Linked DNA regions of Notamacropus eugenii. The protein of the gene in region 1 binds, or shares a complex with, the protein of each later gene. Links are inferred from orthologs where the notes say so. Each region holds a gene or a part of one and is shown on either strand. Other genes may lie near its edges. The genes, in order: NOG, BMP7 and BMP2.

Evidence for each region.
Region 2: the proteins of NOG (region 1) and BMP7 are in contact, whole or in part, in a crystal structure (PDB 1M4U), measured with the Homo sapiens proteins. The link is inferred for Notamacropus eugenii from reciprocal best matches to the Homo sapiens genes NOG and BMP7. Residues at the interface, in NP_005441.1 of Homo sapiens: His29, Tyr30, Leu31, His32, Ile33, Arg34, Pro35, Ala36; in NP_001710.1 of Homo sapiens: Phe365, Pro366, Leu367, Asn368, Ser369, Asn375, Ile378, Val379.
Region 3: the proteins of NOG (region 1) and BMP2 are in contact, whole or in part, in a crystal structure (PDB 7AG0), measured with the Homo sapiens proteins. The link is inferred for Notamacropus eugenii from reciprocal best matches to the Homo sapiens genes NOG and BMP2. Residues at the interface, in NP_005441.1 of Homo sapiens: Ile33, Arg34, Pro35, Ala36, Pro37, Ser38, Asp39, Asn40, Pro42, Leu43, Val44, Asp45, Leu46, Ile47, His49, His199, Arg204, Arg206, Pro219, Ile220, Gln221, Tyr222, Pro223; in NP_001191.1 of Homo sapiens: Trp310, Asp312, Trp313, Val315, Ala316, Pro317, Pro318, Gly319, Tyr320, Ala368, Ile369, Ser370, Met371, Leu372, Tyr373, Lys379, Val380, Val381, Leu382, Lys383, Asn384, Tyr385, Gln386, Met388.

The regions. Positions count from the first base shown.
Region 1 is NC_092873.1:368,509,869-368,512,872, reverse strand, and holds NOG (noggin), read right to left. Parts: upstream 1,979-3,004; 5' UTR 1,925-1,978; coding exon 1,226-1,924; 3' UTR 538-1,225; downstream 1-537. UniProt on the Homo sapiens protein: Inhibitor of bone morphogenetic proteins (BMP) signaling which is required for growth and patterning of the neural tube and somite. Essential for cartilage morphogenesis and joint formation.
Region 2 is NC_092872.1:508,737,040-508,740,787, reverse strand, and holds the start of BMP7 (bone morphogenetic protein 7), read right to left. Parts: upstream 2,231-3,748; 5' UTR 2,151-2,230; intron 1,697-2,150; exon of another isoform or gene 1,531-1,696; 5' UTR 1,475-1,530; coding exon 1,054-1,474; intron 1-1,053. UniProt on the Homo sapiens protein: Growth factor of the TGF-beta superfamily that plays important role in various biological processes, including embryogenesis, hematopoiesis, neurogenesis and skeletal morphogenesis.
Region 3 is NC_092872.1:578,460,135-578,463,882, reverse strand, and holds the start of BMP2 (bone morphogenetic protein 2), read right to left. Parts: upstream 2,433-3,748; 5' UTR 2,305-2,432; intron 1-2,304. UniProt on the Homo sapiens protein: Growth factor of the TGF-beta superfamily that plays essential roles in many developmental processes, including cardiogenesis, neurogenesis, and osteogenesis. Induces cartilage and bone formation.

The DNA.
Region 1 (3,004 bases):
GCTGCACTCCGCCCCCAGGGTAGGTGTGAAAGACACGTGTCCCCATTGTGAACAGCCTGTCAGGCAGGACAAAGCGGCTGTCTCCCCCCACTCCCCGCCCCCCGTCCCACAGCCCAGCTTAGGGTCAGCTCCGGGAGGCCGGCTGGGTGTCGAGGTCAAGACGAGATGGAGTTTTAGTAACAGGGAGAGGAAAAAAAAAAGTTGGAGTTCGGAAGGAGCCATGTGATTCCAAAAAGAGGTGATTTGACATCACCGTGCACCCCCTCCTCACTTCACCGCATTGCCTGTCCCCCCTAACCCCGCCAGCGGCCGCTGAGAAACTCATTAGGAGGTGATAACCTCTTCTTCACCCCCAATGGAGGAGAGTCCTGGGAGCTGGAGAGGCTCCTTCTCTCCATTCAAGGAAAACCCACGTGAGGACCCCCACCCTACCCCACTACCCTCCTCCCCCAAGGTCCGCCTGCCCACCGGCCACCCCCCCCCCCCCCAGCCAGGAAAGAGGGTCAACAAATAGACTGGCAGTGCCCAGGCGCAGAGTCGGTTTTAGTGGTTGACTTTAATTCTGCTCTGCACTTCTCTCTCTCTTTTACTACACGGGATGATATTATAAAGAATAAATAGCAGGTGCTCTTAATTTACAATGATTAGTCATTCCATTTGTTCTCTCTATTTACAATAGCTGTAAAATAACATTGAACTCTATAGCTTCTGCGAGATCCAAGGAAAACAAAAACAAAAAACAAACAAACAAAAACACTTTCCGAAGAATGGAAAATAGCTTCTTCTTTTTAAAAGTCCTTCTACAAAAAAAATTTTTTTCCCCCTCTCATCTTTGTACTTAAAAAAAAAATAACTTTTTCTGCTTCGCCAGGCGAAGTGCTCTGGATATAAATAGCAGGGTAACATTAGCAACAACCAGAATAACAGTCTCTCTCTCTCTGCTTTTTTTTTTCCTTTTGTCTTTTTTTAAAAATACAGTAGAAGCCGGTAACTTTGAACGTATAATACTGACCTTTTAATAAGTAAATTAAAACTGAGACCGTATATACACACACATACATTCCTACACAGTTAACAGTGCATTACATGAACCAGAAAGCTATGTCTCTGTAGCCAAAAAAAAAAGTTCATTGAATCCGATCTGGGAGGGTGGCAGAATAGGGGTGAGGAGGGCGGCGAGGGGGTGGATCGAGAGTTGGGGTCTGGGCAAGAGGGACCCCGAGTTCTAGCAAGAGCACTTGCATTCCGAAATGATGGGGTACTGGATGGGGATCCAGCCGCAACGCTGCCCCCCTCGCCGCTGGCACCGCCACCGCAGCACAGTGAGGTGCACCGACTTGGCCGGCTTGCAGACCATGCCCTCCGGCACGGAGCAAGAGCGCTTGCTGAAGCAGCTGCCCACTTTCACGTAGCGGGGCCAGAAGCGGCTGCCCAGGTCGTTCCACGCGTAGAGTACTGGGCAGAAGGTCTGCGACCAGAGCCACATCTGCAACTTCCTGCGTAGCTTCTTGCTGAGCCGGTGTTTCTTGCCCGGGGGCAAGCCCTCCGAGAACTCCAGCCCTTTGATCTCGCTCGGCATGGCCCCCGACGGCCGCTGCCGCAGCAGCTGGTCCAACTCCGCCAGGTCCTCGCCGCCCCCGGCGGCCCCCCCACCCCCGCCTGGCCGGTCCTCTGGAGGCGCGGTGGCCATGAAACCCGGGTCGTAGTGACCCCCCAGCAGGGAGCGGAGCAGCGTCTCGTTTAGATCCTTCTCCTTGGGGTCAAAGATAGGGTCCGGATGCTCGATAAGGTCCACCAGGGGCAGGTTGTCGCTGGGGGCCGGGCGGATGTGGAGGTAGTGTTGGCAGCCCGCCGGCCCCGCCCGGAGCCCCAGTACCACCACCACGGCGTACAGGGTGACCCCCAGGCTGGGGCACCGCTCCATGCCTCCGGCGCGGGGCTGGGGCTGCAGCGATCTCCCTGGGTCCCCCGCCCCACCCTCCCCACCCCCCGGACGAAAATCACGCCAAGCCCCCTCAGGCGGTCTTCCCTCTCGGGAGCAGCTCACCAAAACCAAGGGGAGCGGAGGACCGACAGCATGGGAGAAAATCCTGGTCCCTCTGCCCTCCTTTCTCCCACCGAGGGTGGTGATAGGGGTGGGTGAACTTTCTTCTAACTCGTCCTCTCTTTTTTAGCTGGGGAAGGGGCGCATCCAAAGTGACTCCAAGGACAGCGGTCGTGGCTGGGGTGTCCCTGGCTCGTCTCTTCTTTCTCCGGACTGCAGAAGGCGCGGGGCGCGGGGACTCGCCTGTCTCGCTCGGTAGCGGTGGCGTGGCTTTTCCCTCTCCTCCTTCGTTTCCTGCTCACAGTGCTGCCTTGCTTCTCGGCAGGGGCGCTTCAGGGTGAGTGTACTCCTGTGTAGGGGTCCCGGGGGCGCTCCCCCCAGCCTGGTGTTCGGGGCTCTGTAGGGCAGTCTCCAGGAGCAGCAGCAGCGGCGGCGGTGGCGGGAGTAGCGGCAGCGGCAGCAAGGACAGGAGCAGCAGCGGCGGCAGCTGCGGCGGCGGCAGCAGCAGCAGCGATAACGGCGGTGGCAAAGGCAGCAGCTGGACCAGGAGCAGGAGCCGGAGCAGGAGCTGGAGCAGCAGCAGGAGCGAGAGCGAGAGCAGGAGCTAGAGCAGCAGCAGCGGCGGCGGCGGCGGCGGCGGCGGCGGCGGCGGCTCCTCGCACGTTGGCACCGGTTTGTCTGTCTCGAAGGGTCCAAGCCTTTAAATTTCCTGCACTTTCAGCTCCATCACCATGGAAACCACTGACTCTCTCTCTCTCTCCCTCTCTCTCTCGTTTCCCCCTCCCCTTTCTTCCCCCCAAACAACCCCACCCCCCCACTTCTCCACCCCCGAGGAGCCGAATGAGCTTGGATGCAGACTCCGGGCAGCGGCAGCTTAGGCTGCGCCGAGTTTTGCGACCCGCTGGACGGAGATGCCGGGGGAAGTCAGTCGACAGTCCGGCTGCCCGCCTCAGTACAGAG
Region 2 (3,748 bases), on another chromosome or scaffold:
GTATAACTTTATAGTAGAGAGAACTCCCCTCATAGAAGCTTGACCAGAAAGGTATGTTAAATGACCTCAACTAGACTGGGGGAGAGGGGAAGAAGGGGGTAAGAGAGAGAGACAAAAAGAGACAGAGAAAAAGAGATAGAGACGGGGGGGGGGGGGGGGGGGGGAAGAGGGGAGAGAGAGAGGAGAGAGAGAGAGAGAGAGAGAGAGAGAGAGAGAGAGAGAGAGAGAGAGAGAGAGAGAGAGAGAGAGAGAGAGAGAGAGAGAGAGAGAGAGAAAGTCATTAGGAAAGCAGGTTAACAGAAGCTTGGCCCTTTAAATCTGGCTAAGGCAGCTTCCCCCAATCCACTGGGATCTGTCCATTTGCAGTTGCCTTAGCTGGGAGCATTCACATGACTCAAAGCCTGATGCTTTGAACTGTGCCGAATCTCACTAGCTCTTTGCCTCTCCCGGTTTTACATCTTCCCCCAAGAGGTACAACAGCCAGGAAAGAGAGAAAGACTTCAGAAGACATTCCCTGTGAGGACACACACACACTCACACACACACTCACTCACACACACACTCACATACACACACTCACACGCTGGGTTTCCCTACCTGGGAACGTTCCCAGTCCACGTTCGCCTTAGACCCGGCAAAGAAAAACATCCGCTTTCTGTTTTGGGAAGGAGGAGGAATTCAGGTGGGAAGAAAGGTGTCTGGTGAGAGGGTGTGGGGAACAGGGGGAACTCAAGACAGTTAAAGGGATATGAGTCCTCATTACAGCAAAGAGAAATTGAGCTACTTCAAAGCGATCTCGGGAAGAAATTCTGCTTTCCTCCGATCTGATAGAATAAAATTATGAGCCTTTTCTATAGCCAGTCCTTGCTATTTCCCTCAAAAACCCAAATCCCCTTTTCAGTTCACCCTAGTGACTCCACAAAGGAGAGTGGAGATCTCCTTTGCTCGTTAAACAGCCTCCTCCCCATCATCTTCCCATAGAGGTACCTTGGAGCACCCATACCCTCTGTCCCACCTTGTGTGGGAAAAGTAAATTCCATTGACCCCACTCACCCAGATTGACGAAGCTCATGACCATATCTGCATCAGTTAGAAAGTTACTGTCCTGCAAACTGGCCAGCGGAGGACCCTGGGTGCTGAAGATGGGCTTGTAAGGGTAAGAGAACCCCTGGCCCTCTTCTCCGCCGACCTCCTCCTCCACTGACATGGCATTGTAGAGATCCAGCATGAACATGGGGGCTGAGTTCTGTTTGCCATGGAGGTGGGGCCTGGGCCGGTGGGGCAAACCCAGGATGGAGAGGATTTCTCGTTGCATCTCTCGGCGCTCTTGGCTGCGGAGCCTCCTGTGGATGAAGCTGGAGTGCACCTCATTATCCAGGGTGAAGTCGGCCAGGATGGAGCGCAGCAGTAGAAAAAGTGGAGACCAAAGGACCAGGAAGCTGGGGGGTCCCGGCTTGAGCCACACCACATGCATCTCTCTTGCTTCACAGGGCTCTCCAGGAAGGGGAGAAAGAGAGCAACTGGGCTAGCCTGGGGATCCAAATAAATACTTGACCATTAAATACAGCTAAAGTTTGGAGGGAAGAGGGAAGAGAGGCTGCTTCAGAGCCCTGGTCACTTGCTACACAACTTCCCCAGAGAGCCACTGCAAAGCATTTCTCATGGCTAACTTGTTCAATATTGCTTTTGTTTCCCCTCAGATTGTAAAATCCACATAGAGAAGACAGGCGACAGATGAATCTCCCCAGCGGACTGAGTTTGGCTTTCAATTCTTGGGGGGGGGGGGGGGGGGGTCCTCAGCTCTGCTCTCCTCTCTTCACTTCTCACACACACCAAGTCTCAAAGTGGTGTTTGAATGTTGCTTTGCAGACAGAGGCAGCGGGAGTTGTATCTTGTGGGAGGAGCAGCCAGTAAAACTCAGAGCTCTCTCTCTCTCTCTCTCTCTCTCCTCTCTCCTCTCTCTCTCTCTCTCTCTCTCTCTCTCTCTCTCTCTCTCTCTCTCTCTCTCTCTCTCTCTCTCTCTCTCTCTCACACACACACACACACACACACACACACTCACACACACTCACACACACGCGCTCACTCGCACAGAGAGACAGACTCCAAATTGCTTAGAGAAGAAAACCATATTATGACCCAGAGCTCACCGGCTTTCTTTTCAAGATGTTTTGGAGGCTCCGGGCTCAAAGCAGGGTGGGCTCTTCACAAGCAGTTAAATTAACCTAAGTGGTTTAGAAGCTGGTTTCAGAGTGCGCCTGCAGCCTTCCAGAACTCAATAACAATAGTTGGAAAGAAAGGAAAAGGGACAGAAATATGACTGTGCCCCCACCACCCTCCCACCTGAGCCTACTATCTATCTCCGTCTTACCACCCTCCCCCCTCAAACTGCTGTCCATAGAAGGAGCTCCCATTCACCTCCCACTGCCACTAGCACCACTACCACCACCACCAACACCACCACCACACACACTTTCCACTCCCGCCCAAGGGAAGAAACATTCTGGGCAGGAAAGCTGCCAGCAACGACACCCTTCTGCCCCACCCACCCACCAGCTGCTGCCATTAGTGCCAGGGGAGGATCCCAGGGAAGCACTTCAAGAAGGATAGCTGCCTTTTGTTTTTTATTTTTTTTGTGTGGGTTTTTTTGGTTATAGTCTGCCCTGACCTACATAGATAGTTAGCCCAAGGTCAGGAGAGCTAGAGGATAAAGGACCTAACAAAGCAAATTAATTACCACCTCTCCTTCCTGCAAGGGATTGGGAGCTTCAAAGGTTCAACAGGTGGTCTGGGAGTTGAGGTGATCTCCCTTTGTGGTTCTTCTCTGTGTCCCCCCCCCCCCCCACTTCAGGAGCAGGGAGAACCCAGATGACACTCTTCTTTCTAGTTAGTACTCTAGCCATGGGCTGTTATCCCAAAGAAATAGATGCGCACATGGGAAGCAGAAGACAGGGAAGAGCAGGTTGAAGCTGACATTTCTCTGGTCTTTCCTTTCCCGGGTAGGGTGGCTCCACCCTGAGCCTCTCTTTGGGAAGGCCAAATATGACTACTACGACTGATCTCCAGCTGAAGCAGGGGCCTGGACAAGAGGAATAATCCATTACAAGATTTACTGAATGCCTACAGTGTACTCAGTGTATATACTGGCCACTGGTAGCCATAAGGAAGAGAATATATTAGGTCCCTGCAAAAGGAATCTAGCTGGGGAGGATAAAACACCAATACAGATAGCTAAATACACAATATTACTTAAGTGCTTGAAGATGCAGAACAAAAAGCTAAGTAAAGTCTAAGGGAAGGAAGGTCATTACCAACTGAAGGCAATTAATTGGTATTTAAACAAAACTTTAAAGGTGAGGTAGGTAGGCACCTACCTCTACTACCTTTTATGTACTCACACAGTACTTTTTCTGAGTGGCCTAAAATGCTAAATAAAGAGAAAAATATTATCCCCAAAGTAACAGGACCTCCCCTACTTGTATAGACCTTTGTGCTTTTCAAAGTACTTTCACGTGTATTAATTATGTCACATGACTCTCACAATAATCCAGTGAGGTAGGAAGGGTAGGTATTATTGGTCCCACGGAACAGAAAAGAGCTGAGAGGTTAAGTAACTTGCTCAGAGTGACAGAACAAGGATGAAACCCCAGCCTCCAAAAAGTGTACTTTTCACTAGAAGCAAAATAGTTCCACTATTTTTGTGACAAATACACTTAGTCTCTCCCAACTGTTTCCCAGGAAAGCAGCA
Region 3 (3,748 bases), on another chromosome or scaffold:
GACAACTCTCTTATATGACCTTTGTCCGCTTCTTCTTGTAAGTTTACTACAAGAAGTCTATCTAATGGTATGGAGGGCCTTCTTTGTTTTCCCTTGACATCACAAGCCTATCAGTGGAGCCCTATGGCTATCTAATGATCATGTGTCACTCTTACCATTGACCTATCTTCTTTTCTCCTTCACCTAAAAATTTTTCTTTAAAATATGGTTTACTTTACCAGTGCTTCAGAGTATGGAAAACTATGTTACACATAGTAACAACTTAATATTTGTTGAATAAAGGCATGCACAGATGTAGAAGAGTTGCAGCATTTAAACTGTGTAAATCCAGAGGATGGCACTAGGACTAATAAAGTACAGAGAGATAGATTTTGGCATAGTATAAAAATATTCTAACATGTATTACTACATAGTATCAGTAGCAATAGATAGCAGGCTGTTTTATAATCTCCACATGACTGGAGGTATTTAAGGAGAGGTTGGATAGTCATCTATCATGGATGCTGAAAAGAGAATTCTTGTGCTATATGAGAAGTATGCTAGATAATGACCTATGAAACTAGGATTCCCTACATCAGGTGACTGTTATTCTGTTTTAACTATTTTCTCCTGAGTCTGGCAACAAAATACAGAATAAGTGGAGATACGGAACATTTCAATGACTCATAAACTCAATTTTTAGAATCACAGGAGTCTCAAATCCCAGGAAGAGCCTTTACAGCTAAGCTCAGACCACAGGGATACATACTGAAAAGAGACCTATCGAAAGTAATAAGTTCAAATGTTCTGGCTTCCTAAAAATATTTGCCAAAGAATGCCTTTGTCCTAGAATAACAAATTTCTCACGCAAGAAAAAAAAAAAAATTCCCTTCTTTCATGAGTTGTTCTTTGATTAGGAAATGGCTTAACTAATATTTGTGCTAGAGCTCCACCATTGTTTTGCTTAGCAAACTCACACTTACCCTGGAAGGTATCAACAAAAATTATTCATTCCCTTCCCCCATCCCCCTGTGCCTTCCATCTCCCCAACTTTTGGTGAGATCCCTTGCAAATTTCCTGGAAAAAATAATTTGCCTGTGTTCTACAGGAGGATCAAGATGAGAGAAATCCATAATCAGTGTTAAAAGATCTATCAAAAATAATTTCAACTGTTAATCAAATACGGTTATCAGGTACGATGGATATTTTAAATACTAGACTAAATACCAGGCTAAACCTTGTCCAGCCAAATGTAAAATAGGAAAGGGTTTTCTTTGGCTTCTTTCAGCTTCTTTTATGCCCTTCTCTCCCTCCCCCCCCCCCCCCCCATTCTCAGGTTTCCAATATTCCTATGTTCTTTTCTTCCCTCTCTCATCAAACTCTACTTCTAGGGTCGTAGAATCCTAAATATAATTCTGGAAAGGATTTCAGAGGGCAGATAATCCAGCTTCCTCATTTTATACACACACTCAGTTTTGCCTAAGGTCACAAAGACACAAAGAGGTAAAATTTAAACCTAAGTCCTCTGATTCCAGAATAGAAAGTAGGTAGCCTTTGACACCATACCAGGAAAATGGGTGCACGCACTACATATGGATAAAACCATCTCTGATTCAGAATTGTTTGAAGAAATAGTCTCTAAACAGATGTAAATACTCAGAAAATTGGTTAATTTTTGTTAAAGTAACATTAAAGTTTCAATCAAATTAACCGTTTGCTATCACGAAGCCAACACAATGTAGAAAACGAGTTAGCTTTTATTTGTTTGTTTTTATTTTTAACTGATCATACTGTATATTTTGTCCACATGTGGAAACAGGTTATCTCAATAAGTATACAGATACACACATACAAAACCAATAACATATCATTAGATAAATTTCTCCTAGTTCTCACAAACGTGTTTTCATCTACCACTGCTTTTTATGGTCCATAAAAAAGAAAAGATAACAATGTGTACCTTTCTAGTAGAGCTCAGCAACTGTTTTTAATCAGGCAAATATCTTCAGTTCCTGTATTACCTTATTTCTACCTTGTCACTTAGGTTCTTTTCCCTCAAGTTTGCTAATAAGTGGCCTTACTTCCCAATCAAATACCCAAACGTCTTTCAAATCTAATAACAACATTAACAAATTAACACAGAGCTAACAGTTTTACTCTCACTTTCTGCTTTCAAGATATTACCAAAATGTACAAAACAAAACATTTCAATTCATGACAAGACTGTTTTTGTCAGTTTATCTAATCCATAATGGAATACTACCATAACTTCCAACCTTCTTACTTACTTGCCTTGGAAATGATGGGAAGGGGGGATGTACTCACTCAGCAAAGGAACATTGTCAGTTTGACAAGGCCTCAGTATGATCTTCACGTGTTTCAACTCTTCCAAAAAACACAGATCAAGCCCCGATCCTCAGCCACAGGGAAGAAATATTACTTTGTGACTTACAAAAGAAACCGGCATGAATGTTGCTCTTGCAATGTGCATATTCTGAATCACCGGCTCTCTCGTCACTGCAAATTAAAAGGAAGCATGTGTACCAATGGTTTTTACTGTCCTCAGAGGAAGAAATATTACTCTCCTTGGTCACACCCACTTCCTTCAAACATAATTGACAATCAGATATCCCCTGGCAAACCAAATCAAAGTATTTTAAAAGATGAATAGGCCCCAGTCTCTCTGATGCCTAACTCTGTAGTAGTAACTTAAATATTTTAAAGAAGACTTTCCATTCCCCAGGTAGCCATCCTGTGCACTAAGGTAAGAGGAACTTTGGGATTAAGTGATGTTGTGCAACAGAGTTCAAGGAAACCTCTTTAATTCACACCCAGCTAATTAACAATTTAGGAATGATACATGAGGTTCTTGCTGAGGAAAAAGTTCAAAGTAGGTGGCATAACTTGGGGCTTTTGTGTTTCTGATATGTCATTAGGTAAAGTGTCTCATTGTTAGTTGTAATAATTTTAAGTATTTATAAATACTTACTATATAGCAAAAGCTATGCTAGGCACAGGGATTAAAATACAAGGTGTCCCAAAAGTCTTAATGCAGTTTTAAGCTTTACTTGACTTTTCCTGTTTTGTTCAGTCATTTTTCAGTCATTTCTAATTCTTCATGACCCTATTTGGGTTGTTGTTGTTTTGATTTTTTGGGGGGGGAGGGAGGGTAGAGATACTAGAGTGGTTTGCAAAACTCTAACTCATTTGACAGATGAGGAAACTGAGGCAAATGGTGTTAAGATACTTGGCCAAGGTCACACTGCTAGTAGATGTCTGAGGCCAGATTTGAACTCAGGAAGATAAGTCTTCCTGATGCCAGGTCCAACCCTATGTTCACTGTACCACCTAGCTGCTTTTATTAGGCTTTAATAAAGCTTAAAAATACGCTAAGATTTTTGGGACACCCTGTGTCCCAAAGAAGTTTACATTCTATTGAGGGTAAAATAGCATTTAGAGGAAACTTGCAAAGGGAAGGGAGTATGGTCTATAGGGCATGGACCTGACCAGGAACTGGCATGGAATTCTGGGTCCCTGGCAAGATACAGCAAATGTTCACCTCTTAGAGCTGAAAGACCTAGGGGCAGAGTCCACATTACCACTGAGGAGAAGATAGAAATGATAATCCAAGAAGAGGATACTGGGAGGTAGTAGAAGACTAGAGGTAAAGGTGAGGCCCAAGAAGAAAAGGCATGGCATGTGATCAGGAAGGGAAATAGCATACTCTGGTAGAAAGGGCACTGGTCATAGGAATCAGGAGGCCTGCGTT